3 linked regions of the Alligator mississippiensis genome follow. The protein of the gene in region 1 purifies or fractionates together with the protein of each later gene. This does not show direct contact. Links are inferred from orthologs where the notes say so. Each region holds a gene or a part of one and is shown on either strand. Other genes may lie near its edges.

Region 1 (10,549 bases):
GGGTTTGGATGCCCCACCCTGGCAGGGGCCTGCCCCGTGGAGTTGCCCCTGCTCCCTGTCCCTGTCCAGGCAGGCAGTGGGGGGCTCCAGCTCACCCAGCTCTGTGTCACGGATGCCCATGTAGCTCTCCAGCAGGTCGTCTACCTTCTCGATGGCCCGCTCCTCAAATGCTGATGGCTGCCAGGGAAGGGTTGGGAGTTAAGCAATGCTGGGCAGGGGCCCAGCAGGACACTGCTAAAATGTGCCCCCCTCCACAGGCCCCAAGGCTGGGCCCCTCCAAGCTCTCCTCAGTTATTGGGACTGGTACGGTGAGGGGGCAGGGGCTGCAGGTCAGGAGGGGCACAGGGAGTGAGGGGCACTACAGCATGACACAGGCAGGACCTCCCACTCATACCTGCTCCTCCACGGTGGCTGGCCCCTTGGCGCGCAAACGGAGGGTGCCCCTGCCCGTGCCCAGCTGAGCACTGCTCCCGTGCCGGGCACCCGATGACCGCTGCCCAATCATATCTGTGGGGGAGCAAGAGGCCAGATCAGTATGGGGCCAGAGGGGGCAATTCCCAGCTCCACCCCCAACAGGGCCAAGAGCCTGTGGCTGGAGGGAGGGGTCCCAACTCCAGTCCATGGTCCCCTGGAGCCTGAAGCTCCCCTGTGCACCCCCAGCTGGCTTAGCCCCGCCCAGATGGCGCACCGGGCCTGGCACGGAGCAGGCGGTTTGCGTCAGCCACTGCTGCACACAGGCCCCTTGCTCTCCCTGCAGGGCAGGATGGGGAAGGGAGGTCCAGGTGCATCTGGCATGGGCACCTGCGGGTGAGGGGGTGGGACCAGCCTCTGGGAAGGGACCTGCAGGGGACCAGGGCTGGTGGGTGCAGTTGGGAAGTGGGGGGGCACTTGCAGCCCAGTGCTCATTAAAAACCAATGCAATAGGCTGGACCCTGTCCCAGGGGCAGCAGCAGAGCTGGAGGCGGGGGAAGGTGGGGACACACATGACAGGGAATTTGGGTCAGTAGTGTGGGGCACTGGCAGGGCTGAGGACTCTGTGCAGCCAGAGCAGCCCCCCCCAGTTACTGGCAGGGAAGGATCCAAGAGCCAAGAGGAAGCGGCTCCCCCCCAACACCCATCCCAGGACCCCATGAGTCACTGCAGGAAGGAACTCAGTGGCTGAGGCCAATGGAGGTGCCAGGGCCTGGACACCCAGGTTCTGCTCCTGGCCGGGGGGGGGGGCGGGGGGGGCGGGGTGTTGTCCTGGGCAGCTACCCTGGGCCACAGGGTGTCTCCTGCTGACAGCCCCGACCTGGTGCTTAGGAGGTCCTGCCCCCTCCTGGACACATGTGGGCACTGCAGCCTTGGGAGGGTCTCCATGGGCCACAGAGTCACAGCACCATCTGCTGTCCCTGCATGGCAGTGCAGCCCCAGGGCCAAGTGTTTGGGGGGTGAGGGCCCTCTATGGGCTGTTTCACCCTTTCTGTTCCCCCAGCACCAAGCACCCAGGGCTCCCCACCCAACAATGCTCCACTTGGAGCCCTGCCCCTGCCCTCCCACCCAGTTCCTGCCCCACCCCAGGGTCCTGCCCCCACTTCTGCCATACTGAGGCCCTCCCCCCAGGACTCCATCCCTGCCCCAGCTCCACATTTGCTCCACAAGGCCCCGCCCCTGCCTCATGGAGGTCCCCCCACCCCAACTCACCAAAGGCCTTGAGGGGCTCAGTAAGGTGCAGAGTGAAGCGCCGGCCCGTGGGCAGCTCCTTGAGCATCTTGGCCACCTCATAGTGGCGGGCACCAAGCAGGCTGCGCCCATCAATGGCTTCAATCATGTCACCCACACCGATGAGGGGGATGCGGTCAATCACGCTGCCCTCCTTGATGCGCTGTGGGGGCAGGGGTTGCACTGGGACTCATGGCTGGGACAGCCTGAGCACCCCCCCTCCCCAGTGCCTTCCTGGCACAGCCAGCTGGCCTTGGCCCCTCACTCCTAACCCTGCCCAGGCAGGGACCACAGAGGGCTGTAGGTTGGGAGTAAGGGACAATGGCAAGCTGGCAGGGGGAGGGCAGTGGTCCGGGACTGGAAGTGAGGGGCACTGGCTGGGTTGGGGGAGCAGTGGACTGTGAGTCAGGAGTGAGGGGCACCAGCAGGGAGCTAGTGATCAGGAACGAAGCCTAGGTCTTTCCTGACCCTGCCATGCCCTGAAGCACAAGGACCCCTGTGTCCCCAGCTGGATCGAACATGTCCCCTGCATTGACTCCTTCTGCCCAGATTGCACTGCCTCACTTTGAAGGGGCTGAAGCCCCTGGCACGGACCTGCAGCCATACATGGGGCCTTCTGCCCACTGCCGAGATGTGCCCAGCTTTGGGGCAGAACATGGCAGCATGGAACAGCAGGGCGAAAGTCTGAAGCCCCGGAACTGGAGAACATCACAAACTGGGGATTAGCAGATGCCAGAGATTTGGGCTGAGACAGCAGGGCTGTGATCCCACCCAGACCCTGGGGGCTGTGGGTGAGGAGTGATGGGCACCAGATGCTGTGGGTCAGGTCCCACCTTGATGAAGGCATAGCCGGCCCCATTGTCAGTGATGGTGAGCCCCAGAGCATCCTCAGCCTTGAGCACCTCGACTTCTTTGCGCTGCCCCCGTGTGTGGGCAAAGATGAAATCCTCCAGGCCAATCTGCCCCCCCAACAGCTTCTCCATGTCCACCTTGTGTGTGTTGAGGGTGCAGAACATCACCTGTGGGTGGGGAGGGGTGGTGAGCAACACCAAGAGGCCCCATTCCCTGCCTCTCACCCCCCAGACCCTGTCTTCTTGCATCCCAGGCCCAGGACCCCCATCCTTTCCCCCCTTGAGGTTCAAACCCCCTGCCCACCCCTGCCTCCTACCGGGCCCCTCAGGCCCTGGATCATCATCCCTCCACCCATCCTCACCCTCTGCCCCAAGCCTCCCACCTGCTCACCTACCCCAGGCCCTAAACCCATCCCTTCAGACAGCCACACCGGCTGCCCCCCAGGACCTGTCTCCCTGTCTGCCCCCCCCACCCACTAGACCTGTCCCATGCCCCTTATCCCTCCACCTACACCCCCTGTCCCCAGCCTCCCCCACAGCTTCAGCCCCCTGTAGCTCCAGGTCCTGTGCCCCTTCCTCCCTAGGCACCTCAGTGGGGGGGATGTGGAAGGCCTCAGCGATCTTGCCGTAGAGCTCGCGCACATTGGTGAAGCCCTCAATGCGGCCTGTGGGGCTGCCGTGTGCCAGTTGTGTGTGGAAGACCAGGCGGGGTCGCAGGCCAGCAGGCGGGGGAGGCAGGCCAGGATGCAGGGCTCCCAGCCCTCCTGGACCCCCTGCCCCATCTCCCCCACCTGGCCCCGCACGCCCCACCTCTGCCTCCTCATTCTCCACCAGCGGGGGGGGCTTCTTCCGGCGCCCAAGGCCTAACGGCATGAGGGCAGGGGGACCACGGCCAGCACCAGCACCCACGGGTGACACCTGTTGGGGGGGGGGACAGAGGCTGCAGGGAGGGCACCTGGGTCCCAGCCCAGCTGCCGCACCAGACTGAAACTGCACCCCCGCAGGACACCAGTCCCCCACCCCAGATTCCAGACCACCCTTGCACCCCCTCCCAGGCTCCCTGGACCCCAAAGATGGCTCCTCCCCCCCAGGATGCTCTCCCAGATTCCTTGTCCCCTCAGGGGTAGGTAGAAGCCAGCGCAGGGGGGTCCCGGCACCAGGCACTGGAATGCGGGTGGAGCTGCCATGCCCGGCTGACTCAGAGCTGAGGAACGGGCCCCAGCGGGTTCTTCCAATGCCCGGGAAATGTGGCTACCCACCCCCTGCCCCTTTCCTGGGGCAGAGGAAAGCTTTTACCACTTCCCCCATGCCAGCTGCCAGGGACCCTCCAGTGCCTTCTCCTGGGACTGCATATCCCAGAGCCAGAAAAGGCCTCAGTCCCCCTGCAACACCTGGGTCTATTGTACTCATCTTTCCAGCCTGTTCTATGTGGCAGTTCAGCTGTTGCATGCTCAGAGCTGGGTATGTTTCCTCCACCCTGGTCTCTCCAGAGGCTCTGGGCCTGGTCCCCCCCAGAGGTGGCTGCATGCTGCAGGCCAAGCTGGCAGGTGCTGGGGGCCTGGCAGAGGTCGTGGGGCCTGGCTCAGCCCCACACCCAGGGGGTTGGTAGGTCCCCAGCAGCTACCTGCTGTGGGCCTGGGTCCAGGTAGAGGACCAGGCTTGTTAATGTGCCTAGGGAGGGCAGGGTTCCTGCCTGGGAACAAGTTAAAGGCAACCTCGCCATTGTGACTGAGCAGGGCCTAGCAACACCAGGGCAGTGTGGGCAGGAGCCAGGGCATGGGGGGGGGGGGTGTAGGGTGGGGGTGTAGCACTTCCTACACTCCACTGCCCCCAGGTTTCATCCCTGCTCCCTTGGTGCCTCAGGGAAGCCAAACGGGTAAGTAAACGGGAAGCCAACAGCTAGGGGCTCCCCCATCCATGTGGGGAAACTGAGGCACAGAGGGACATGTCAGGTCGGGGGGAGAGGAATCAATGGCTGAGCCTGGGACCGGACCCAGGAGTCCTGCCTTGTGCTCCTGCCCGATGGGGGGGGGGGTCATGGCCTGGGTGCCCGGCAGTGGCAGAAGGCAGGACCCCTGACCAGGGGCACATGGCAACCCTGCTCCCCCCAGCCCTAACGCCCCGCTCTGTGCCCTCCCCCCGGCGCGCCCGGCACAGACCCCAGAACCAGCCCCCGCCTTCCGCCCGGCTCAAGACCCCTGCCCCCTCCCCCCATCGCAGCCCCACACTCACGCGTCCACCCGCGCCAGCCACCCCGCACCTCCACCCAACTCCAGCTGGGGCCTGCGCCGCCGGGAGGGGGGGCGGGACCAGCCTCAGCGCCTCCGCCAATCACAGAGCGGCCTTGCGTTGCCGCCGACCAATCGCAGCGCGGCCTGCCGTTCAGGGCTGGGTGGGCCGTTCCGGATTCAGCCGCTTCCCCCGCCTGGGTGCAGTTGGAAGCGTCCAAACCCAGGGAAGGGGAAGGTGGGAGGTACCATGAGAGGGGAGTGCGGGGAGTGGTTGGGGGGGAGGGGTTAACATTTGCTGAGTGCGTAGGAGAGACCATTCAGAGGAGTTGGATACGCCCCCAGCCAATTGCAGACCAGATCCGGCCAGAACGAGCCAATCAGGTGTGCTGTCGGGTGGGCAGCCAAGTCAGGTGCATCCCGGGGGTCTCGCAGGTCTTGGCGGGACCATACGCACTGAACCACATCGGCGCGAGCGCTGGACTACAAGTCCCGTCATACAATGCTCGCTCGAGGCACGCCCGGACCCGTAGTTTCTGGGAGGTGGCTGCAGGAGGCCCGTATTGTCTTATAGCCGAGCGCAAGCAGCACGGCCTGTCCCGGAATGCAGGTGTCTGGCTGTAGCTGCCAGGGACCAGAAGGCAGGGATCTAGGCTCCGAGATCCCCTCAGCTGCGGAGAAAAGCATGTAGATCCGGCCAGGGCCCAACCCAGGGGAAGCTACCGGCTGGGAAAACCCAGGATCTTGCTTCTGCCTGGGAGTGTCATGTAATTGCTACCTGTGCCAACAGGAAATCCTACTCTATCCTTCTCCTAAGGAGTAACAGGGGCTGAATGCGTCTGGGCCTCTGGGCTTTCACCACACCCTTGTTCATTCAGCAAGGGGCTGTGGGACACACCCCTGTACAGCAAGCCAGGCCAACAAGCAGGAAAAGCTGCACCCACAGGATGAGGGCTAGTAGTTGCTAGTGGCTTTAATAAAGATCTGGGTGAGCGTAGGTCTTGGCTCTTTTAAGCTGGCACCTGCATATCTTTTGTTCCACGCAGGGCAGGGAATCTACATTGCAGTTGCTTCACCTAATCTTAGCCCTACACCCACTGTCCCCACCCTTCCCAGTGGGGATCTAGCCTATTTAAAACCCTGCCTTAGTAAAATAACAGCAGCTGTGGGAAAGGCCACTTTGAGCCACTCAGTGTCTAACAAGTGCAACTCAATATTGCTTCCCACATCAGGACAGATACCTCTCCCCCAAATAAGGCCACACAGGGCTTTGGCTACCAAGACTTTAATCGTAACCCCAGTTTGGTCTTATCACATTAGTAACTGAAAATTGTCAGTCCAGCCATACTTCAAAACAGTGCTGCATGTTTAAAAAAAGGGAAGGTCACCAGCTCCTCCCATGAGTCTTTAATTCAGATACAATCCTATAAAATAAACCAGCCTCTCCACTGCATTTTAATTACATGTCAAATTTACACAACTTTTATACAAAGTATGTACAAGAAGTGCTGTAATGCTCCTGTACCAGGAGCAGGAACCCTTTAATTAAAAAAGGATAGCAAAGGTGGTGTTAACAAGCTCAGAGGCCAAGGCCTCAAATGCCCCAGAGTTCAGTGGTTGGCCAAAATCCTCTGGTTTAAGACAGCAACTGTGAGTAAGGAAAGGAGTCAGACTCTGCTGCTGGCAGAGATGCAAGAACCAGGCAATACCTGCTCAGCCCATTGCCCTACCAGGAATTGAGCCCAAGAATGTAGAGGGATGCATCTATGAAAGTCTCTTCAGAAAAAAGATTTGAAAAAGCAGATTATATTTAAGACCCAGGAAATCCCTTTGCATTATTTTTCTAGGCCTGGATAGCTACTGGTTTAAACTCCAGGGCTTATTCATTTCATCTCATCTTCAAGACATTTGTTTAAGCCCTAGTGTTTACCAGGGTTATTTTCACAGACCCACAATTAAGTTCAGCGAGAGTATATCCACCTTCCAGCAAACAAAATAGGCAGGCAGGACTCTGAGGTGGGAATTCATAGCCAAGAACATCCAAGTGACCCAGGATAAAAGTTCTCCAGTGAATTAACAAGGAACACAAGACACAAAGCAAGGACTACAACAGTAAGGACTGTCCAGTTTGGAGTTTATGCCCCCCACATGGTGAAGGGATTCCAACTCAGCAAGAGATGAAGTGCAAGGCAGCTGTCCTATTTAGGGCTGCCCAGGATGCAGACAGTGGGTTGAGTCATTGGTCACATCCTTACAAGATGATTTGTCAGCAGTGTGTCTGTAGGCTCCTCCCAAATGTAGCAGCTCACTGGTGTAGGTGATTCAAGCAATGTTCTGGGTCAAGGCACTGAAACCAAGTTCCCAGAGCCCCAGCCTGGAGCCCAAGGCTATGGTCCCACAGGCTTTGGTGTTCAGCCAGTCTTGGTCTCAGGTCCACAGATTGCACAAACTAGATGGGAAGGATCTGCTCCAGAGCTTTCTTGGATGTCTGGGGGATTCTGTCTGGGAACCGCACATCAAACTCTATGATAAGATCCCCGCGTTGGTCTGGGTTCTTGGGGTATGGGAGACCTTCCCCAGTGATCCTGCGCTTTGCTCCAGGCTTGATGATGTCTTTGAATGACATGGGAATGGTCCTGCCATCCAGCGTTGGGACGTTCACCGTGCAGCCACACAGGGCCTGCAGAGAGAGACAAGTCAGAGAGACCATGAAATTCAACAAAAGGTCTGTACACCCCAGACCCAAAGCTAGAACTCCAGCGAGTCCTGTACCCAGACCCCCTAACTCACCTCTCGGAGGCTGATCTTAGCTGGGAAGATGATGTCCGAGCCATCCCTCTTGAAGATGCTGTGTGGCTTGTCTTTTAGAACAAAGACAATGTCGGCTGGAATGTTGTTGGGCGTTTGGTCACCCTCCTTGGGGAATGTGATCTTGGTCCCTTCCTTCCACCCCCGTTTCACCTCAATGGTTAGGATCTTGTCCTCGTTGCGTGTCGTCTTCCCATCCGGGTTGAGACGTTTGTGAGAAATCTTCATCTTCTTGGTGCAGCCCGAGTAGACCTCCTCTAAGGAGACCCTCAGGTCATGCGTGATGGGAGGGTCCTGCTTCCGGCGAAGGCTGTTGTGGCCCCCTCGGGTGCGGGGGAAACCCGCATTGCTGAAACTTCCCATTTGGAAGGTGACAAAAGGGTCATCAATGTCCATGTCTTCATCCCCATTCCTCTGCATGAAGAAGGTATCAAAGGGATTCCGGCCTCCAAAGAACTCAGCAAACACAACATGAGGGTCTCCATGGAACGTGTAGGTGAATGATGGGCCATTAGCACCACCTCCCATGTTGGAGCCACCTCCTTTTAGCCCTGAAAAACAGGCAATAAACCTGCTGTTAGTTTATCAGTCTCCACTTTCACTCATGTGCTTACCCCAGGATTCCAGATCCCCAGCTCCAGAACCATCCAAGCTTTTGGCCTCTGTTCCCACCACCATTGTCATTTTGTCTCATCCTTCAGTTCTGAGGTGCCTCACAGAAGAGAAGTCTCATCTTGACCTGGCAAGTACTTTCTCTAATCACAAGGGAAATTAGAGTCACCTCCAAGAGTTCTGATATCCAGAGCTTCCAGCTTTTCAAACACAGATCAGTTTATACAGTGAATTTGATTGTATCATTTGGGTTAACATTCCCCCTCCCCATATCAAGGCAGGGAACGTAGGAGCCTATGGACTTCCTATTCCTGAACTGAAGGAAAACACATGCTTAACAGCAGCCCCAGAGGCACAATAGCAATTGAGGGTGCTTGGAAACAGCAAGGCAAGCTCTTCCTGCCTTGGGAGATTAAGGCAGGGGCTGCAGGGAGTTCAAGTTAACACAGAAGATTCTAGCATATTTGTTTGCTTGTAACTCCAAGCCACGCCCTTGCAAGGCTCCACCTCTCCCAACACAGCCAATCCACACAGACCTGCCAACACTTTGGCACACAAGGGCAAGCTCAATGTCTACCAAGAACACAGGCCAGCTTTACAAAAACTGCAAAGCTGTTTCAGGATGTTTTCTCTCCTGTTCTGCCAGTTCTGGTTCCTCACCCACTGTCTCCAAGCAACAGCTCAGTCACAGGTATGAGCCAGGAGCTGCAAGGCTCATGCAAGGAGCAGTAGAACAAGCCTGTGTGCCCTCAGTGCTAAATTAAAGGCTTGATCTAGACCAATCCTGACACTTCCACCCTTAAGGTGGGGAGTCAGGCAAGCACACTGTGCCCCAGGTCCTTGTCCTTCAGCTTTAGAACAGGCCCCAAGAAAGCATGAAATAAGGACTCTTTACAGTGTCAAAGCTAAAAGTTAGCAGCTAGCAGCAAGAGATAAGGATTCATCTGGCCAGTTTCCAAGCCCGCACAGGTAGCAAGAGCCTGTATCCACTTTTTTCTAAGATGCCACATACTGCAGGTCTCTCCCCTGTTCCTCAAGTCAGTCCTGCTTGGCTGCTTCCTGACTTCCGTTTCCACAGCTAGGCTGGCGCCAGGGGCAGCACTGGTCAGCCCTAGCCCACAGCTCCCCTCAGAAGACCCATCAGGCTCATCTTCTCCAACCCAGCATTGGAACTAGGGAAGGGTTGCGGGGGGGGGGGAGGGGGGGAGGTGCTTCTGCCCTGGGCACCCCAGGCCAATCAAGCCTATGCAGACAGCTGTGGACTGGCACACACCTCAAGGAAGGCCCTCACCATGTACCCAAGCCAGGGATACAAGTCTCCCAGCACCTCATGCCCTTTCCCTTAGAGGTCCCAGCCCTCCCTCAGGATATAGTCCTTACCTCAAAGGGCAACTCTGCACTGCAAGCCCCAGCCCAGGGCAGTAAAGCACTGACCCCTGGCCAGCACTTGGGGGACCCTGCACTGTCACCTCCTCCACCCACAGGCTAGCTCCCCCCAGTGCCCTCCCCCACAGCCCAACTCCTCTCAGACCTCCCCTCCCCAGCCTGCACTCCATTCCCAGCTCCCCACCACAGCCCCACTCCCCCTGGAGAGCCCGCAGACCCGACTCCCCTCTCCCACCTATGGAGCAGGACCCGCCCCCGGGTCCCTCGGGGCATCTCTCCCCCCCAGCCCTGCCCCCCCCAGCGGCTCAGGCCCCGCTCCCTGGGACACCCCTCCCACTGTGCAGCAAGCCCCGCAGAGCCTCGCTGCTATTGGGATCCTCTCCCCGCCCCCAACCCTGCAGCCCCAAAGCCCCACACGGCGCGGGCGCTCACCTTCCTCGCCATACTTGTCGAAGACCTCCCGCTTCTTGGGGTCACTGAGCACGTCGTAGGCCTCGGCCACCTCTTTGAAGCGCTCCTCGGCGCCAGGCTCCTTGTTCTTGTCGGGGTGGTAGCGCAGCGCGAGCTTCCGGTAGGCCCGCTTGATGTCCTCGTCTGAGGCACCGCGCTGCAGGCCCAGCGTGCCGTAATAATCCTTACCCATGGCGCCGCCCGGCCGCGATCGCCGCCAGCGCCCCAGTCTCAGCCCATTTATACCTGGGCTCCGAACGTTCCAGAGAGCGCCACAACCATCCGGAGCCTCCGCTCCGCCCCGCCGCCCCAGCCAATGGACGCCCGCTGCTGCCGGCGCGTGACCCAACAGAGGGCGGGCGCGCGAGGACCTGCCTGTGTGAGGGCGGGGTGGAGGGGAGGGGGTAACTGTCGTCAAGGCCACGCCCTCACCTCTGTGAGGGCCAATAAGAGAGGGACGCTGGGAGCGACAAAGCCACGCCCCCTTTCCGGAAAGGGAGGGGGAGTATGTAT
Region 2 (10,276 bases), on another chromosome or scaffold:
CCAGTGCTTGCTATGTAATTGTGTTCCATCCTTATTTTTAAGTGAAGATACAGGAATGGAAAAAAGCTGGTATTTCTGCCTTCCATCTTTCCTGTTGTTCTGTTTGTGCTACTGACTTCCAGCAAGTGGTGAAGCTAATTTCTTGTCTCTCTTTCCTATGGAGCCTTGAACATGAGTTACAACAGCTGAGCCTAAGTACCAGTGAATTGAAGCCAAAACCAAAGTCAGGAGTGAAATGCAGCTCACTAGTTGCTCGCTTCCCCATGGGATGCATGCAGCCCTTCCATGCTCAAGCCAGACTTTGCACGGTGTTTCTCGGGTAAGCCCGCAACAATACATGGGGACTGAACCCAGGTTGCATCTGCCATCAAACTCATCATCTGATGTTTGATTAACCGGCCCGTTTCGGATGCTTGGACCTTCTTGTCCAATATGTCCCTTGGTCAGTGGGGTGATTTTCAGATGGGAGGCAATACTGGGAAGTCCCAGCAGATGGCAACAGGTCCTTGGGTGATGTGTAGGCATCACCTAGACTCCTCATCCAGTTCTTTTACCTTCAGAAATACACCCTGCAAAGCGCTTTTATATAAGCCTGTCTTTTCAGGAGTCTAATAAAAGATACCTCTGAGGAGCTATCATCTTCTGCCACCCTGTGCTGTGACACCAGCTGAGGAGTTACGGTTCAAGGGACTCATCTTCTGCAAGACGTGTAGCTCTCTGTCTGGATAGTAAAGAGCATACTCAAGGGAGCAATGTTGCATTCCCTTGGAGAAATGGAGTAGGTATCTTAATAGGTGTTTTCACAGAAACATAGATGTTACAAATGGAAGGTACTATCTATAAATTGCAGGTTAAGTGAGGATTTTATAGCCACAAAGATCTATTTTAATTGGTGCTACACACTGTAATTGCTTATTGATTTCTTTTTTTTTTCTTTTTTTTGGGCTCCTGGCTTTCACACTAAAACTGCTCAAGCAGCAGAAACCTCATAAATACATAGATATGAAAATAATAGCTGTGCAGTCAGAGTCTAACAAAATCAACACATTGCTAAAAAGGTAATTGCTACTTGCATGGGGGCTTCACTGTGGATTGTTTTAATTAGCTCTCCCTTAATTGTTGAATGAAAGAAAAATAAATGGCCATGTGAAGTGCTAGAGGAGAGCAGTAATCCACCCAATAATGCTGAATTTGATCATGCTGAGCCAAATTATCAGCTACTGCAGGCCAGTGCAACTCTTCTGATGGTAGTAGAGCTGAGCTGGTGTACAGTAGCAGTCTATGTGGTCCCTTCTCATTTTGGTGTCTGCCTGCACCCAGGCCTGCCTCCTAATTGTTTTATTGCAAAGTGTTGATTTTGTTGTGCATAAAAACCTACATTAAAGAAGACACCAAGGCCTAACTTATAAATAGCAGATCTGACACACACAACACAGGCTCTCTTAGAAACCCATCTCTCCCACAGCTAGTCCCTCAGCATAACTCACTACCCGGAAACCAAAAGGGGAAACAGCTATTCTCTATGTCTGAGAAAATGGCAAGTGTCATCTTAAGAATGATTTCATCTCATTTCCCCTCCTGCAATGCATCTGTTTTGGACCCAAAAGTGAACTGGGTGCTAGCATAGTTTTATGGTTTGCAGCAGCTAGTCTCACGTTATTGCAGAGACTTTACTGCAGGGTACAAATCTCTGGACAGGTCAACTCCTGATTATGCTGCAAATCTTTAACGCCTGGGAAAAGCACTGCAGTGCTGCTCTCAGCAGGAAGGAGTCTGTTATACACACTTGGTGCTAGTGAATGGGGCATTTGCTTCAATCTCTAGTAAGAAAAGACCAGTGGGCTCCAGGGGGTGTTATTACTGCCTTGCCCTGGGAGAGGGGGTGCCACAAAGCCTTGCTAGCAGACCTGGCACCTTGCATGAATCCATGCCACTTGCGCTTGAACCTGTGGCACTGTGACCCTCAGTGGCAGAGATCCTGCATGAACCTGTAACTACAAATCCTTTCTCATAGTATATGTGTGAGAGGCCACCAGGGTGAGCGTTAAACTAAGTTGGCCGGGGGGACGGGGACGCAGAGGAACATGGGGACACTTTGCCATCAAGCCAGGTGACGCGCAGGTAGTACCCAGGTACGTGATGGGGCTAGGGCAGGTTTAGGAACAAGGGGACGGCACGGGCACCTACAGGAGGCCTCAAATGCCTCTACACAAATGCTCAAAGCATGGGGAGTAAGCAGGAGGAACTCACTCTCCTGCTAGCTAGCAAAACCCCAGACCTAGTGGGGCTCACGGAAACCCGGTGGGATTCTAACCATGACCGGACAGTGGCCATCGAGGGATACAGAGCAGGGAAAAATACACGTCCTCAATGATCAGGATGAGGTCAGAGGAGAGGCAAAATGAGGTGCTTTGGGTAAAAATGCAAGGAGGGTGTGGGGAAAGGGACTTGATATGGGCGTCTGCTACAGACCGCCTCACCAGGAGGATGAGCTGGACCGGGAATTATCAGGTCAGCTCACGGAGGCTGTAAAGTCAAGGGATGTGGTCTTCATGGGTGACCTAAACTACCCAGACATCTGCTGGGAGGAGCAGGCAGCCCAGTCCGACCGCTCACTTAGGTTCCTAGCCAGGATACAGGACCTCCACCTAACCCAGGAGGTGCATAGTCCCACCAAGGGAAATGCCTTGCTTGGGTTGGTCCTTGCCACAGGCGACGACCTGGTGAGGGGTCTGCGGGTACTCGACCACCTGGGCGACAGTGATTATCTCCTGCTGGAAAGCAAGCAGCAAGGCAGAGGTCCTCGACTTCAGGAGGGCTGACTTCTATGAGCTAAGCAGGTTAGTAGGAGAGGCAGTGGTGTCTTGGAGCTTTAATGAGATGGGAGTCCAAGACGGGTGGTTGTTCCTCAAGGAGACGATCCTCCCAGCTCAAAGGGAGTCGGTGCCAATGCACACCAAGGAGGGCAGGAGTGCTAAGAAACCCCCATGGCTCAGCAAAGACATCCAGGGATGCCCGAGGGCAAAAAAGGAGTCGTACAAACAGTGGAAGCAAGGGGCTAACACCAAGGAGGATTATACCTCCATTTTTAGGACTGCAGGGAGGCTGTTAGGAAGGCCAAGGCAGAGATGGAGCTAGGGCTGGCGACCAGAATTAAGGATAGTAAAAAGTCCTTTTTCAAATACATAGGAGTCATAAGAAGGCACTGGGTACCATGGGGCCCCTCCAGGATAGGTGTGGCCATCTGGTGATTGCAGCAAATGAAAAAACTGACCTCTTTAACAAATTCTTTGCCTCCATAATCCTGAACAGGGACCAGGGCATCTCCCCACTAGAACTGCAGACGGACCCGGAGGAGGCACCACCATGCCTAGTGTCAAGAACAACCTAGTTAGGGAACTTTTGGAGGGGCTGGATGTATTTAAATCAGTAGGTCCAGATGCTCTTCACCCACAAATTGTTAGCAGGTTCAGGCTGGACATCAGGAGACATTACTTTACAGTTAGGGCTCCCAAGGGAGGTGGTGCTCTCTCCTACCTTGGGGGTCTTCAAGAGGAGACTGGACAGACATTTGGCTGGGTTGATATGACCCTGGCACCCGTTCCTGCCCGGGGTGGGGGGTCAGACCTGCTGATCATCCCTAAGCACTATGATACTATGACCTTGGATGCGTATGCCTAGGCAACAATAGGGAGGAGCGGAGGTTGCCTAGACCAGTGTTTCTCAACCTGTCGGTCGCGATCCAAAAGCGGGTTGCAAGAATATCTGAAATGGTTGCGAACGAACTTAAAAAATGGATTCTCCTTTAAAGGAGAACAAGCTGGGAAACTGGCTTTTCCCTTGCAGGCTGGCAAACTTCCAGCCTGCAAGGGGCAGCTTGGGGGCCTCCTGCCCCACACCCTCAGGGCAGGGGGTCGGGAATGAGGGGCACGGGGTTGAGACTGGCCATCAATGTTTACAAGTGGGTCTTGATACAAAAAAGGTTGAGAACCGCTGGCCTAGACCGTCCATCCCACCTGGAGACAGCTCCCAGGACGCTGGTCCCTCGGTGGCTGTGGTTACCTGCACATCCCAGAAGCAAACCCATGGAGCAGGCAAGGAGGCCACCACTGAACCACGGTAATGCGGCCCGTGAACCTTTAGCATGCAGAAAATTGCCCGCGGCACTTGGTAATAGGGCACCTAGGTGGGGTGCATGGTGTTCACAGGGGTAGGGACGTGCGTGCTTGCCGATGCACGGGGTTAGAAGAGGTAGGGTGGGGTGCCTGGGTCTGCTGCTCTTGTTCCTGGCGCAGGGGCTCGGCCCTAGGACAGATGGGGCGGGGAGGCAGCACCCCTGGAAGGCGCTGGGGCAGGTGGAAGCTGCCGGACTGGAGATCTGCCGGCTGCAAAGACCGAGCCAAGCGCCGTCCGTCCTGCCTGGCAGGAGCGGGACTTAGTGCCTTGCTTCTCTCCATGCAATTGTACAGCTGGAGCCCTGCCACCGTGTCACACCCATGGCTACACGTACCAACACACATGTGCACGCACCGGTACACACACGGGTACATGGATACGTGTACAAAGCCACATGTGCATAAGTACAGACATAGACACACCGCCGCACACCCTTCTGCACACATGGGTACACAAACACACACAGCCAAACATGGGGACACGCTACTAGGCGGGGACACACTACACGCACCCAAGTAGCTGTGCAGTCATGCACACCGCAACACACTTTCCAACATGTGCGCAGGTACACATGCGTACACGCTCACAGGTACACGCAGCTGCCCATGCACGCACAGGTACATACATGTGCACATGGGTATACATGCACACACAGGTACACACATGCGCGCGCACGCACGCAAGCACGCGCACGCTCCGCCGCGGGGCGGGGCGCGGGGGCCGCAGGGACTCGTTGTCCGCGCGCGGAGGGAGGCGGCGGCGGCGGCGCGGGGGCGGAGCGGTGCGGCGCGGCCGGGCCCGGCCCAGCGCGGTGCGGCGGCGCGCAGGGATCCGCGGCCCGTGAGGCGGCGCCTCAAGTACGGACAGGAAAATAAATAAATAAATAAACAAACAAACATCCCCGCGCGGCGCTCGCCGCCCGCCCCGCGCCCGCCCAACCCCCGCAGCGGAACCGGCGGCGCCGACCCGACCCGACCGGCCCGGCCCCCGCCCCCGCCCCGCCACATCCGCCGGGCCGGGCCGGGCCCTAGCGCAGCGGCAGGCAGGCGCGGGAGCCTCGGCCGCGCCCGGGACATGGGCCCCGCATCGCCCCGCGCCCGGCGCCGCCGCCCCCGCACCGACACCGGCACCGCCACCGGCACCCGCACCCCCCGCTAGCAGCGCCGCCGCCGCCGCCCCCGCACGGAGCGCCGCCGCCGCCGCCGCCCGCCCGGCCGCAGCCCCAATGAGCGGCTCCCAGCCCGCCGCCACCGACAGGTCAGTGCCCCGCCCGCCCCGGCACGGCCTGCGGGGCCTGCAGCGCGTCGGGGCGCGGGGCCTTGCACACTCGTGTGAGCCCCTCCCCCTCTGCACACTCGTGTGTGCCTGTCCCCTCCCCCCACCCTGCCCCGCACACTCGTGTGTGCCTGTCACCACCCCCACCCTGTGCCGCACACTCGCATGTGCCCATCACCTCCCTTGGCACACTCGTGTGTGCCTGTCACCACCCGCCCCCGTGCCACACGCTCGTGCCCATTACCTCACGTTACACACTCGTGTGTGCCTGTCACCACCCCCCCGCGCCACACACTCACATGTTCCCGTCACCTCACTTTGCACATTCGTGCGTGTCTGTCGCCTCTCCCTGCCCTGCCTCGCACACTCATGTGCGCCCATCACCTCTCCCGGCCTTGCCTCGCACACATGTGTGATCATCATCTCCCTCCACACACTCGTGCGTGCGTGCCTCTCACCACCCCTACCGTGCCCCGCACACTCATGTGCCTGTCAGCTCTCCTAGCCCTGTCTTGCACACCCGTGTGCACCTGTCACCTGTTGTGTGTGTGTGTGTCCCGGTCACCCTGGTGCAGGGCCGTCGCCTCCCTCGGTCCCTGCTGCGTTCCGCGCCCCACGTTTCCCCCCGGCGCTCGCGGTGCCGTGGGCACCGGCGACCCCACACCGCCTGCGCGGACGGCGGACGAGCCGCCCAGTAACCCCACACGGCAACTTGTGGAGGCACCGCGGGGATGCGAAGGAAGGGGGCTGCTTTTTTCTTTGCATTCACTTTTCGACTACTAGGAAACCCCTCGCCCTGGCACAGCTTTCAGGCAGGAGAAGCCTTGTCCTGCATAGGTGCGAGGGACGGCACCAAGCGAGAGCAGAACGGTGCGGGCTGAACCGCGTTTGCGCCTTAATGTGACCTGCGGTGCCTGAATCCGCTGTGAGCACGCTTTCAGGGCCTGCGGGAGAGGGCATCGGTTGCAGAGTTTGGGCACGAGAAAGCGGCTCTGACTTTTCATGAAAGTTTAGGCCTCCACATTTATTCTGGCAACGCGAAGGATTCTTGCTGTGCGTAAAACAGCCAGAGTCCAATAGAGAGGAAGCAGGTCTCCTGCATTTTCTTTGGGGGACCCATTCGCCGCATACCGAGGATTTGAAAGGAGTTTTGCAGCATGCGGCATTTTTGCTGGAAATATAACGATTTGCTTGTTTTCTGCAGTGTGTGAGGTGACAGCAGGGAGAGAAGTGTGTGTGAATTGTGTATGTGTGAGTGCATGCTCCCAGGCAGATTTTCACCAGACCTACCTCTTTGTACCTGGAGGGATGGTGACAGCAAGGAGAAGATACTGTTTCAGTGGCTCAGTGAGACTCTGTCGGCGTTCAAAAGGAGCACGTGCCTTAAAACAGCTTGAAAGGCAGCTTAGAAGCAGTAGGGTCATCTTCCTCGGACGTCGGTGCCTCGCTGCACCAGGAGGAGTCCAGGAGGGCGGCAGGCTTGGTTGCTAATAAAAGAAAATAGTTTCCATGATTGCATTTGGGCAGGCAGGCTGCAAACGCTTCCTGCTGCTTTCAGTCCTGGTCCAGGCATGTTTCCGTGCGGTATTCATTAAAAGCGCTCGAGTAGCAGCTTTAATGCTAGGAAAAGCAGCCGGCTTGAGGAATTGGGAGATGTAGAAGCTTTTGGATGTGACCTGGGTACGGCCACGGGGCCTTGCCCCTGACCTGGAGGAACCCCAACTGTCATGGCGAGAAGGAAATTCAGCTTTCATGGCCTGTTTGTCGCTTGGCTGAGGCTCTCGACCAAGTGCCAAATGTGACGGTGTGTTCTCGTGATGTGGACATCTGCCTACTCGAAACTGGAATGAGGCCACCCAGTCCTTTCATATCGGGCACAGAACGGGTTTCAGAAAGCACTGCCCTGGCAATCTAGTGGTGGAAAGCTCTGGGCCCCGTTAAAGCTGAAGAATTGTGTTTTGCCTCTGAATGGGAAGCTCTTAATTGAGAAATCTTAAAGCAGGTATGACCTAAATGCAGGGCTGGTGGCGTCAGTGGGATTGCAGGGTATAAGAGCATATTTTGGGTTTAGCTCTGTGTGACAGTCTATTTATAAGTCTTGGCATTCTGACATGTCCATGGTTGTGCTGAAACCCCCTTAGGATAAAGCAGCGTGGGCCCGTGCGTCTGAGTTAGGGTGTGATCACCTTCTGCTTGACGATGGCTGATGATGATCAGGTCTTATCTGGATTTTTTCTGCTTTGGTTTCGCCAAGTTCACCAGGAGCTTTCTGGTATCGTACTGACATTCGCCTCGACTGGGATTACACCTGCTCCTAACTCTCATCGCTCAGCTCATCTCTTGCACTAACTGTACGCAAGCTCTGGTGAACAGAGAAGGTAGCGGTTTCACTGTTGCTCCTAGACACGATGGGTTAGGTCGCAAACCCCTTTCCCCTTTTAGTCTATTGCTCCTTTTCTCTAACACTCAGCAGATTCTAGGTGTCTCTGTCATTGCCCGGGGGCATTTGAAGAAATGCTGTCAATTTGCATTGGCTTGGCTTGGGATAGTTGTGTGTCTCAAAGCGCATCAAACTCTTAGTCCAGATCTGTTTAATCATAGGTGTGTCCCGTCTCTGTATTCTTCTGTGTTACTTGATACACCTGCCCACTAAAGCAGAAAAGTTGTAAGGGATGATTTCCAGCATCTCCCTTCCTTTCCCTTCCCCCACTCCCCTGTCTAAATACCTGGTACTCAAAGGCATTTACTTATTTGAATTTTATAAAAAAATGACAGGTTTCATCAGATTTTTGACAGCTCCTCCTCCTCACCAGAGTTATTTTGGAAATAATAAGGAAGTGGCTGGCATGTCCTAAGAATGGAGTGAGAGCATCTGTTGTGTAGGGTATGCCATTAGGTCCCTAGAGAAACACTGAAACATTAGAAGCATCCTTCTCTTAAAAAAAAAAAAAATTAAAAAAATAGCCCTATGGAGTATGTGCACAGAACTGCCTGGGATAGCCTGGAAGGTGCAGCCGTGTGTGCCCTGGGTGAGGTCTCAGCGTAGAAAGGATTTGGAAACTTTGATGCAAGGGCGGTGAGACTTGCCTCCTTCCCTTCCCATGCACGCTAATGGATACTCCCTTTGAACTGAACTCTGGGGTAGAGGCTTACCTGAGCTAATAGAAGCAATGCTTAGTTAACCCAGGGAACAAGGTGTTCCCAGCTGTTTGCACCTCATTAAGGCCTTGTTTATTTGGAGAGCCTGAAGGCTTCCAAAGCTACTTTGGAGTTGGCAGACCTAGTTGAAGGCTGCTGGTAGGAGCCTTGGGATTGACAGCTGCTAGTCAGGGTCACACGTTACGCAGTTCAAACTGCTGCATTGTAAAACAGACAGTGGAGCCAGGTTCCCATGTGCTTAACAGATACGCAGATAACTGAGGTTTGTTATGGTGTGCAGTAGACAAATACAGGGGATGGGCCTGTTATGCACGTCGGGGACTTTGCACTGTGCTGTACTGTACTGCTCTCTCCATAATTTAGTCCTGTCACCTCTTGGATGGTAACAAATAATTCTTTTCCATCTGTGGTGTTTATACCCTGGAGGTTTGTAAATAATCCCCTAATCTCTTAACTGTGGATACGGTACATTCTTCTAAAATGTTTTAGCCCCAGGGTCTCTACTTTTGCTCTGTGTTCAGCTCCTTTTTAGTTGGTAACATGGTTTGTTTGTTTTTTTCTGATACCGAGCACAACTCTGGGATGTTGCCTTTCAAGTGCAAAGGTGAAGATTGAGGGGTCCAGCTTCACCTAAATTGGATCATGGAGTTAGCTTTAGGCCTGGCTGTGTATGGCATAGGATGTATTTCCCCAATTCTATTGGGGCTGCATGTCAACATGCAGTCGCGGTCTGTCCCTCCCTCACCCCAGAGTTCCTCTGTCCTAAGCTAAAAGCAGACATACTTTGGGCGTTGTGCTGTTTGGCAGCTTGTGGCAGGCAACACATGGCTGAGCAAGATAAGGGTTTTATTCTTTGTGGGACATGGTATGGCTGGGGTGAAATCCAGCCATTTGCAGGCCCTGGTGACTTGCGAGTGATCAGAACCTTGTTATATCCTGTTATGATCCTGCAGAAATATTTGAATGCAGTTCATTTTCACTTTGTAACCCAGTTCACATTTTTCTCGTACAGCCACTTCAGCCATATCAGAGCAAGGAGATTGGACTGTCACATCACTTGCTGTGCAATTTTTTGTGACTTAATAAAGTACTGTAAAGCATGTAGAACTTTTGAAAGAAGAAAGACTGTCTGGTTGAAGAACAGATTGTCATTCCTATGCAATTGCTGTCAAACGAGTCTTCTTTAGAACAGTTCTGTAGCCTCTGCTACCAGGATGGATTGGAAAATAGGGAATGTCGAATTTACACATAATTACCCTTGGGAGGCTTTTAATTGCTGATTTTTTTTTTTTTTTTTCCTCATCACTTGATACTAAAATAGACCCTAATTGTTTCTAATCCGCTTAGATGCACTTCCCCAGTCTTTGAGTGTTTATAAGTCCCCATGGTAATTGGGATGCCTCCTTGTAACTGAATGGTGGAAAATAGCCTCTTTTTTTCCAGTAGGACCAGAACAATAAGTTTCTATGAAGTTCAGGGCTTTCTCTGCAGAGCTGTTGCTAAATAGCATTCTGGGTTTACTATGAGAGAAGGGCTGTCATTTCATTCATATTTTTTACATTGCCTGTTCCAGCCCGTGTGCATGTCCTAGCCTTCCTTTTGTTAGTAGCCATTTGGTAGCTTTGATTTCTTGTCTTGCATTGTGCTTTCTCTTCGTTTATGTGTG
Region 3 (10,403 bases), on another chromosome or scaffold:
CGGCTTTTTTTGGTTGTTGTAGCTGATAAGTATGGCTGCATGTCCAGAGCACCCTCACGTGCATAAGCCGGTACCCCACCGCGGGCCTGAGCCTGCAGCAGGCTAAAGGGCTCAGTGAGCAGCGGAAGTGGAAGAGGGTGCCAGGGAGCAGTCACAGGGCACCGTACTCAACAACAAAGAGATCGTTAGGGCTCCTGCTACTGCTGCTACTGCCATAGCAACACCATGTGCGCAGCAGAGGCCTGAGCGCCAGGGCTGCCACGGAGACATTGGGGTAAGGCACTGCACAAGGAACATTCTGCTTCACCGGGCACTGGGTGCCTTTGCAGAAGTGGCTTCTCCTTGGTGGCCGCGGGAGCTCGGCTGTATGGGTCCCACCAGCACTGAGGCAGCAGCATGTTCTGGGGCTCCAGACGTGCCCGGTGCCACTGTCCGTGGGAGGGTCTGCCCTGACCACCCAGGACAGCAGCACAGGCTGCACAGGAGCAGGGAGGACCCATGGGCGAGGGGGCAACATGCACTAGAATAAGGTGGACACTACCTTCCTCACTCAGGGCCAGAGCAGGCAGGATGTGTGTGTGTGTTATAAATGCAAAACAAACAACAAAAAAGGTTTATTTATATCAGTAGTTTAAAATGCCTTGCACTATTACTAAATATTGGTTATCAGATTGGCAGTGGCCGATATGGTTGGTTAATCATTAGTCAAGAAAATCCTTATTGGTGCACCCCTATCTATTTTACATGTCTATGAAATAACCGTTGTTATGCTGAATAAATAATTATGATACACAATAACATCTAGTCTCTCTGGAGTATATCCTTAATACCAATGACTTGTCTATTTAATTTTCAGAATTCCTCCCAGATGGAAGAGACAACCGCCAGTAATACAATAAAAACCTACCAGGCGTCGTCTCTCCATCAGGCCCCTCCTCTGTCCAGCAACAGATAGGAGGCTTGCAACTTGCCCCACAAGGTCAACAATGTCAGGCTATGATAGAGAATTGCAGCAGCTTTCTCTTTGTCAGTGCTTCTACGGTTTGCTCTGAGCCTTGAATAGAAAGTGCCCACTGCTTGCAAACGAGTGCCTGGCAAGTCAGTGAAAAGTACAGACTGCTCTAGAGAGGTCACTGAGAAGCAAGAAGAGATCCTCTGGAGTTGAAGAAGACAGGACACTCCTCTCTAAAAAGAGGCTGGTTTATGAAGTCTCTCAGCCAGGACTCTCAGGAGGGATTTCAAGCCCATTATATTGACACACAAAAATGCAGAGTAGCAAAATGAAAAGCCATCAAGTTCTGGGAAACAAAGACAAAACAACATAAATGCAGTATCTTTAAGCCATTTTTAAAGTTTCCCTGGTCTAGGAACAGGCAACAAGGCCAAGCTAATATCAAAACACACCCCAATCCTTCTGAGAAGTCTGCTTTGGGGCACTGGATGGCTTTGCTAGCATCATCCTACAAACTAGTAAAATTTTCTGAAGTGTCAATTGCCCTAACGTTAAATCTCTTGCTACCCCCCATAGCTATATACCTGATGTTCCATTTCCCAAAGCAATGCCGGTCCTGTAGGAACTGCACACATTAATGGTCTCAATGCCCCACCCATCAGAAAGAAATGCAAAACTCTACTATTCTTGGTTCAGAGATTATACCTTTTATTAGGCCAACTAAGATGTTGCAAAAAAAAATTATCTTTTTCTGCAAGCTTTCGGGCTCACACACCCTTCCTCAGGCTCAGGGGTAAAATTAAAGATGGTAAGAAGTCCCCAAACGTAAAAGGAAAAAAAAGTCCCGTCCCCCACCTATCAGAAGCTCTTGAAAAGCAACCGCCCGGCAACAAAAGTATTGAATATGCATAAAGCATTATCTAAAAAAACCCAAAACATCAGGAATCAATCACGATACTAAACCACTTTGCAAACAAACATAGAAACAGATTTGCCCCATCAGTCCTAGGCTCAAAATATTGACTGTAAAAGTTAGCTGTAAAACAGTTAACGGCTACAAACATCAACATTGCCTTTTGAAGCAACCCCATCACAGTGAATTTTGGAAAGCACCATGGCATCATCTTTGTTATTCAAGAGTATCTGCCTGACAAAGATTCCCTCCAGTATCTGACCAGTAACAAAAAATATCTAAACCCAATTAGTCATAAGCAGAATATGGTTAAGGGCCTGGCAAGAATGGTCTTAGTAACTTTGTGAGCTCTTTGACGGGACGCATGCCCAAAGGGCAGTTGTTCCCAATCTGTGGTACAGGTACCACCAGTGGTACGCAGAGAACCTGTCAGTGGTACACATTAACAGATTTATTATAATTACTTTATATGACAAAAAATTGCTGGTGGTACTTAAGGTTGTATCATTTTAAGTTGGCGGTGGACACTGTCAGTTTGGGAACCGCTGCCATAGGGTCAGTTGGGAGTAGTCCTACTAAATGCTGTGGCAACAATACAGGTATCTTAACACACGGACAATGTTAAGAAGTATCAGAGCAGGCTTTAAAAGCCAGGTTATTTCAAATGCCCTGAACTTCCTTAGTCTGCCCAGAAACACAGAAATAACTTCGGAGGTCTTTACTCCATGCAAACTTTTTATTACAGGAACACCTAGAAACCCAAACTAAATGTTGTGCTTCAAACGCATAGCAAAAGGCTGTGCCTGTAACTATAAGCTCATAGTCCAAATACACACAGGAAAGAGAGGCTGAGGGAGGTGAAGCGATCTGTTCAAGATTACACAGAAGGTCAGGAGCAGAGCCAGGAATAAGATCTGGTTCTCTCAAGTCCCAGTCTACTTGCTGCCTGTTTATGCTCATAGGTATTTTTAAGGAGTACCAAAGATTACCGCAATATGAATTTTGAGGGACCTCTCTATACTAGCTTTTACAATGTGCGCCGACTGTGGTACCCGGTTAAAAATACAACTTCGACCTATGGAAATAAACAAGCAGCAAAGCAGTCGCTGCTGCCTATTAAGCAGGAGCTCAAAAAGTATTTCACAGAATGAAGAAAGTATGGTGCGCTTCACAGGGCAAGCCCTTTTGCAGAGATAAGATTCCTAGTAACTGTCATTTTTCACCAATAAGCAAGAGGACAGGCATCCTGCATCCCCACTTTGCTGGCTGGCAGTTGCAGCTGTTTAAGATTTCATCCACGATGCACACAAGTCCTGAGCCCTTCCAAAACACCCTGCTATATCCCCCCAGCATCTGAGACCTCTTTCTGCTCAGCCCCCGTCTTTTTCCCCGGTTGGCCTTTAACAAGCACCTTTTCCTCCCTTGCAGCCTGCGTCTCTCGCGACAGGCGGCTTGGCAAGATGGACCGAGGGTCTGCCCCAGTCTCGATGAACGTTTTGGACGGGGACGTCAAAGGGGCTGCTTTGCAGAGGTGCAAGAAGAGCACAACGGACTTGGGGGTCTTGTCTTTTGTCTGACGGAGGCAGAGCCCGTTTTCAAGTGGTTCATTTCTTCCCTTCCGCAGTTCTCTCTCCCTCCTCTTATTCCTCTTCTCTCTCTCTCTACCCACCACCTCTTTTCTTCTTCCCTCTCCACCGCTCCCCCCGCCCGCCCCGGGCAGACACGTGCGCCAGGCCCCCCGCAGCAGGCAAGTGCCCGCTCCGCGGCTCGCCGCGCGGGACGTTTCCCAGCTCCCCGCACCGCCGCGTCCCGCCCGCCCCCGCATCAGCTCCCGAGCTGTCCGGGCCGGGCAGGGCTGCCCCGCGCTTACCTCTGCGGCTGCTCCGGGCGGGTCCCAGCGGCACAAGCCCCAGGGCCGGGGCGCCGCCAGCCCAGCCCAGCCCAGCCCGGGCCGAGCGGCGGGCAGCGAGCGCCTCCCGGGGCGGGAGAAGGCGGCGGAGCCGGCAGCACAGCCCGAGCGCTGATGTCACGGGCGGGGGGAGCTGGAGCCGGAGCCGGAGCCGGGCGGCAGCAGAAGCAGGAGGAGGAGGGAGGGGCCGCGCTGTCTGCCTGTCCCGCCCCGCGGGGAAGGGGCCGGAGCGGGCGGACGCCCCCCGCCGCAGCGCCCGCCTCGCCCTTCCCAGCGCCGCCCCAGCCCCCGCTCCTGCCACTGGTCACACCACACCAAGTTTCCTGGGGGGTAGTTTCTTATGGTGTGGGGCGGGAAAAATAAAAGACTCCTACCCCGGCAACTGTGAAAACCTGCTTTTCTCCCAAGTGGTAACATCTGCACCGCTCCAGGGGTTCAGAGCTCCGGGCGCCCCATGAGGTGCAGGGAGGCCCTCCCGCCTCAGGACGTGGCCCGGCCTCCAGCTCCCGCCCGCCCGCCCGCCCCAAAGGGCCGTGGCGAGGCTCGTCGGGATAGCGTCTCTTCCGCGAGTTTATTAGTAACAGCGGATTTCATCAGTGCGTGCCCATGGCAAATATTTACATTGCACAGGTCCCTCAGCGACCAGTCCTTTCCGAGAAGAAAGCCAAGGCTCCCGCACTTCACAGGGTTATGGCGAGTGCCTGGGGTAGTACCACAAAATAAAAGATGGCATTCAAAGGAGATCTGGGGTGGTTACATTCATCCTGCCTTCTTAATAGGATTCTTCCTGGCATTTTAGCTTTGCTTACAGATATGACTTCAGATACACCTGGGCAGTGGAGAGGAGCACACCACTTTAATAATGTGCCGCTTTACTTCACCTAGAAAGTGCTGGAGAGATGCATCTCTGTTCTGCACATCTTCTGTCTCTCCTACCCCTCTCGGCTGTAAGTTGTTCTAGGCAGGAATCGTTTCTTACCTCGCTAGTGGGGAAATATGTGTAAGTCAAGTGACTTCTCCTTGAGTTATTTTTCCCTGGGTTTGGCCTGACATGACACAGCAGCCAAAGTACAGAATCAGAGCCATGTTTGTGTGCCGCCTTGCTATCCACTCCCTCATGTGTAGTGCTGCCTCCCAGAAGCACCCCCAGCACCACGCTGCAGTCTGATCCCTGCTGCGTGATGGGTGGCGGGGGAACACGTCAGTCCTTTCAGGGCCATCAGTGCATTAAAATAGGAGCCCAGCACTCCAGTGCACTCCAGATTTCTGCCGATGGCAACAGATGGACCTGTCCTAGAAGAAAGACCTAAACCACAGCTCTATCCAAAGTCCTAGCGACTTTTCAGCATTACTCTCTCCAGCTAAAGAACCAATTCTTCTTGCTGGAGAGCTGTAACACACTGGCCTCCTCTGTGGATCAAGAGCAGAGGTGGTATGTGAAACAAACTCTAACCAGTGGGATCTTTCTTTAAAGTGCCTAGTACAATGAAGCTTTCTAACCTCAACCAGAGCCTCTGGGTTATATTATCGTAAGTAGTAATATGACAGCAAACCAGAAGTACAAACAGAAACTGAATTTTAAAAGCTACCAGTGCTACTTCCCCCACTCCCCTCCCCTCTCAGCTGTGTTTGGGTACATTACGCTACTGTCCTTTCAAATAATCTACACCCCTTTCCACTTACAAATGTTTGTGTTACCCCAGAAGAATACTGTGAGAGTGCTGAATCATTGTGGAATTATCAAGAAGCATGCCCAGAGGCAAGAAACCTTCAAAATGTAAACTGTCTTGATCATCAGTTCCTGTATTTAAAACAGTCCTAGATGTTAAAAAACATATGTCATCATTTACAAAAAATGGTGTCTTTAAAACTAAGGTGAGAAAGATTAAAAAAACAAACCCTATTTGCTGATATACATCACTGAAAAGGAAACATGCAAAAAGTTTCTAATGCACTTAGATTAATATCCCTTATTAATTAATATTAATAAATATGCATTTGGATTTTGTCACTTGTTGAACCATTGAGATTAGGAATGACAATATATAAAAATCAAGTGAGTTAGAGGAGTCTGACATTATATCCAGAATGTAGGTACAGGTTTTTTGGGTGTGTAGAAGCAATAATATTGAACACTTGGAATTATTCTGGGTCTAAGACCAGCAGAATTTGGCCCACGGTGTTATATTTGCTGTGCAAGAGCCAGGTCTCTAAATATTCATTGATTTTTGAAGCCAGAAGGCTGTATCACAGACTAGAAAATATGAACACAGTATGACACTGAAGCAGATAAACTCATGATACCAGTACTAGTACTAGTTGACCAGTCAGAAGAAAATACTTCCTAGCTCTTTGGATCACAGTGGGAGGTACAAAGACACTTAGTGCTTCTACACTAGCTCTGTGCCTTTTATTCCTTGGACATTTGGTAAAGAATTTACTTCCATATTTCCAGCAGAGGGAACTCTCTAAGAGCTGTGATGCTGACTTAATGTGTGTGCTATTCCATAAAAATCGCCATGGTAAAATCTTAATTAGGACGTTCAGACTTCCGAGACGAGTTGTGCTGGTCACTGATCAATAAGGGATGACCTAAGTTCACCCTGTACTAGGGATCTCAGGTGTAAGGATCAGCAGTCATGAAAATAAGAACTATATTATTATGAATCATTATATTTCAAATGCCCAAACTGAGATCAGGTTCCCACATACTGGACACTTTGAACATACAGATTAAACAGCAGTTCCTGCCCTAAAAAGCTGAAAATCTAAGTAGACAATGCAGACGAAGAATGACAGAAGACATGATTTGACCAAGGACACATCCTAGGATCCTGGTCAGTGACAGAACCAAGCTCCTGAGTCCCAGACCAGTGTTATGATTCCATCCTCTAGTCCAGCAATACTCAAACCATAGCTGCCAAGTCACCAGGGCTCTTTGACTGATCAGCTCTTTGAAGAAAATGTTATCAAAAGTGCGTGTATAAGTTTCACTGAATGCATTCAGTACAGCTTTCCTGCAATCATGAATAATGCAACACACACGCTAGCTATCTCTATCCATCGTAACTACTGTATTTCCTTTCTTTTGAATCAGACTGTTTGCCAAAATTCACATAGGGGCATATATGTCGTAGCTGTTTGGTTATCACTAGCTACTTAATGCAGCTCCTAAGCCAGTTGCTAATGAGTGTGGCTGCTCTCGAGCACACTTTCTCATGTCTCCCTTCCTCTACAGGAATAGGTATAACAACAGAACTATGTCCATGGGGCCCAGTTGTAATTTCGTCTGCGTTGTGGTGCGACTTGGGAAACCCATTAAAGGTTTTAGTTTGCTTCAACACAGTCTTATGACAAAGAGCTGTCTCCAAATATAAAATTAAAGATTGATTAGAGAATTCTCTCAGCTGCCTCAGAGACACTGAACATCTAGCTGGAAAATGGAGACTATCACCCTGCTCTTGTGTGCACAGCTCTGCCAGTCCTCTCCATTCCAAGCACCCTGATCATGACACGTCAACTTCAGGGAAGCCAGATTCCTGAGTATTGCATTACCCTTCTCAGATTGTATTTTCAAGAAACTGCCAACAGGTATCTCTGAGTGCTGATTCAGACACTAACACTCTTTTTTCACTAGAGAACAGCAACTGGAATCCATCTGTACTTTCAATGAGACTAGTATAGACATTTTGATTTCTGTAATCTTATTCTCAGCTACTACAGCTAAATGGAAGGTAACTTCCTGTCTGACTTGGGTGGCCAGGTGACTGGGATTTGCAAACTGCCTGGATCTACCATCTTGACTCAGGAGTAAAGTAACTGACCACAAGTAATTGAAGATGATTAAAATCAAGAGCGTGCTCGCCTCCGTTTGATTAAGCGCTCCCATGCAGCCTTAGCCCAGACTATGGATTGCGTCTGTCCTGGGCTCGCGGGTGGACCCCACAGGCTACCCCTGCTGACGTCAGGGGGTCCCCTTAACTTGCCTGCCATGACTTGGAATGTTGCCTCAGTGGAGGGGTTCCCCTTTGGGGGAGCCTCCAGGGTCGTTGCGCCTCCCGGCGGGCACTCACAGAGCTCCGACCTCCCCTACACCCCGGCCACTTGCCACCTTGGGCTGCCGATCTCGCTGTCCGGGTTCAAACACCCGTTCTTTGGTATAGCTGTCGTACTTCTCTTTCTGGCGGGCCTGAGCTTCCCTCTAATTCTCGCGGGCTATGTCCTGGGCCACCCTTATCCTTTGCTGAAACTCCTGTCGATATACTGCTGGCTCTTGTAGTGGTCCACCACCTCATTCCCATTCCTCCCTCAGGACTTGTAACAGGCCTCAAGGGCGATGCCCTAAAACTAGCTCGAATGGGGAAAATTTCATCGAGTCTTGAGGAGTGTCCCTAAGGGTAAACAGTACCAAGGGTAGAAGGAGATCCCACTTCCGGGGGTCCCCTTGAATGCAGCGCCTCAGTACTCGCTTTATGGTCCCATTCAGGCGTACCACCAGCCCACTGGTCTGGGGGTGGTACACTGAAGTGCGGATCTGCTTTATTTGCAGCGTCCGGCATACCACCCTCAGGTTGCCGGACATAAAATTCCTTCTCTGGTCGGTTAGAATTTCTCGGGGAACACCCATCCTTGCTATCCATTTCACCAATTTCTCAGCCACACAGGGGGCGGTTACTGCCCGTAAAGGAATGGCCTCCGGGTATCAAGTCACGTAGTCCACCATGACCAAAATGTATTGGTGGCTGAACCTGCTACAGGGAAGTGGTCCCATGATGTCTAGGGCTACCCTCGAAAAGGGGGTACCCTCGAAAAGGGGGTGTCTATAATAGGCATGGGTCAGAGCAGGGCCCTGGCGGGGCGTTCAGTCCGGGTCTTCTGACATTCCGGGCATGCTGCACACCGCCGGGCTACTTCCAAAAAAACCACCGGCTCACTTTTGCCAGGGTCTTGTCTCGACCTAAATGCCCTCCCACAGGGCTTGCATGAGCCAACTGCCAGATAACCTGACGGAACCGGGTAGGCACTACCAATTGCGCCTCCGTGGAACCCTCCCGTCTGTGCCCTGGTATGCAATAAAGGAGGTGATTTCTTACCTCAAAGCAGGGCTGTCCCTCTGGCGGCAACCCGGGGCAATTCCTGGAGTCTTGGGCCTGTTCCCGAAGCGCCCTGAACTCCTGGTCCTCTCCTTGCACTTCCCGAAACTGCACACTGCTGGTGAAGTCGCTGAGGTCTAGACCTTCGGCCTCATCAGCTGACTCGTGGTCCTCCTCCAATTCACCCAGCCATCCTTCGCGGTTCCACATCCTTCTGCGTGCCTGTTCCGCATCCCTCACTCGGTCTAGCACGTCATAAAGTGGCTTCCAGTCCCGACCCAGCAGCATTTTGTATGCCAACTGGGATACTATTCCCACCAGGAGTTCCCCCTGATGCTCCATTACGCGAAGCTGGATCCATTGCCGCCCTACACGCTCGGCTTTGCCATGGAGGCAGGCCACTGTCACCGGCGGGGCTTTCCTTCCCGCTTGTGGGCATACCACATCGGCCCTTACCATGGACTGGGCGCATCCCGAGTCGAGGGTTGCCTGCACGGGGCGTCCATCCACCCAGGCCTTAACGACTGGGCCATGTTGCATTTCCCTCGCCGACCACATAACTACAGTCCATCAGCTCGCTGGCCTCAGGACCATGGCGTCGGTCAGCTGGGCCCCTGGGCCTGTCGGCAGGGATCCAGCGCTCGGTGGACTGGCTAGGGCACTCCCGTGAGAAGTGCCCGTTTTGTCCACACCGAAAACATACGGTGTCCCTGGTAGCTCCCCGGGTGGGAGGACGCCGCCGCTTGAGTTCCTTTGGGGGCACCGTCACTGGTCCCGGGCTCCTTCTTTCCCTGGGGTAGCTTGCTTCCGCAGCAGTGAAGGCCTTGGCCAGTTTCAGGGCCTCTTCGCAGGTATGCGGGGAGTGCTGCCGAACCCAGCGCTGCGTCCTTTCCTCCAGATCATTCTGAAATTGCTCAAGGATGACCTGGTCTGCCAAGTACTCTCTATCCGACCCTGCTGGGCTTACCCATTTATCGAGGAGGTCCCGCAGCAGCTGCAGCAACACCCAGGGACGTTTTTTGTCAGGCCTCTTCTTGGCGCGGAACAGGCGGTGATAGTGATCTGGGTTGATCTCTAACCAGTAGAGAATAGCCTGTTTCACATGCTCATAATCCCTGGCCTCGTCCCTCAGGAGGGCCCGATAGGCAGCCTGGGCCTTACCTACAACCAGGGCACCCAACTGGCTGGCCCAATACTCCTGGTTGAGACTGGTCATATGGGCGTGGCGCTGAAAGGCCTCAACGTAGACCTCTGGATCATCGTCCCCCCGTCATCTTGGGCATCTTGAAAGACACCAGGCTATGTCGGAGCCAGTCTTGCTGGCGATCTAGCATCTGTTGTTGTGAGTCCAGGATCTGGGTAAGAGCCTGCAAGTTCTGCCCGAGAATATCTGCCGTGGCCATAGGCACGGGCTGTGCATTGGCGTAGGCCGCCATGTCTGGGTTTTCCATGTTCCCAGCCAATGCACCAAGTTGTGCCCGCCTCCATTCGATTAAGCGCTCCTGTGCGGCCTTAGCCTGGACTATGGATCGTGTC

What was found.
Region 2: the proteins of GIPC1 (region 1) and ARHGEF12 purify together in Homo sapiens (co-immunoprecipitation; 4 studies listed by BioGRID and IntAct, with this or other methods). This does not show direct contact. The link is inferred for Alligator mississippiensis from reciprocal best matches to the Homo sapiens genes GIPC1 and ARHGEF12.
Region 3: the proteins of GIPC1 (region 1) and SH3BP4 purify together in Homo sapiens (affinity purification with mass spectrometry; 4 studies listed by BioGRID and IntAct, with this or other methods). This does not show direct contact. The link is inferred for Alligator mississippiensis from reciprocal best matches to the Homo sapiens genes GIPC1 and SH3BP4.

What each region holds. Positions count from the first base shown.
Region 1 is NC_081831.1:24,770,200-24,780,748, forward strand, and holds the start of GIPC1 (PDZ domain-containing protein GIPC1), read right to left. Parts: upstream 4,872-10,549; 5' UTR 4,785-4,871; intron 3,471-4,784; 5' UTR 3,426-3,470; coding exon 3,141-3,425; intron 2,721-3,140; coding exon 2,535-2,720; intron 1,865-2,534; coding exon 1,684-1,864; intron 508-1,683; coding exon 395-507; intron 178-394; coding exon 96-177; intron 1-95. Other genes in the region: DNAJB1 (dnaJ homolog subfamily B member 1), read right to left, coding at 7,230-7,460, 7,571-8,139, 10,019-10,229. UniProt on the Homo sapiens protein: May be involved in G protein-linked signaling.
Region 2 is NC_081839.1:30,422,339-30,432,614, reverse strand, and holds the start of ARHGEF12 (rho guanine nucleotide exchange factor 12), read left to right. Parts: upstream 1-5,087; 5' UTR 5,088-5,401; coding exon 5,402-5,433; intron 5,434-10,276. UniProt on the Homo sapiens protein: May play a role in the regulation of RhoA GTPase by guanine nucleotide-binding alpha-12 (GNA12) and alpha-13 (GNA13). Acts as guanine nucleotide exchange factor (GEF) for RhoA GTPase and may act as GTPase-activating protein (GAP) for GNA12 and GNA13.
Region 3 is NC_081827.1:183,719,290-183,729,692, forward strand, and holds the start of SH3BP4 (SH3 domain-binding protein 4), read right to left. Parts: upstream 4,242-10,403; 5' UTR 4,149-4,241; intron 3,939-4,148; exon of another isoform or gene 3,736-3,938; intron 1-3,735. UniProt on the Homo sapiens protein: May function in transferrin receptor internalization at the plasma membrane through a cargo-specific control of clathrin-mediated endocytosis.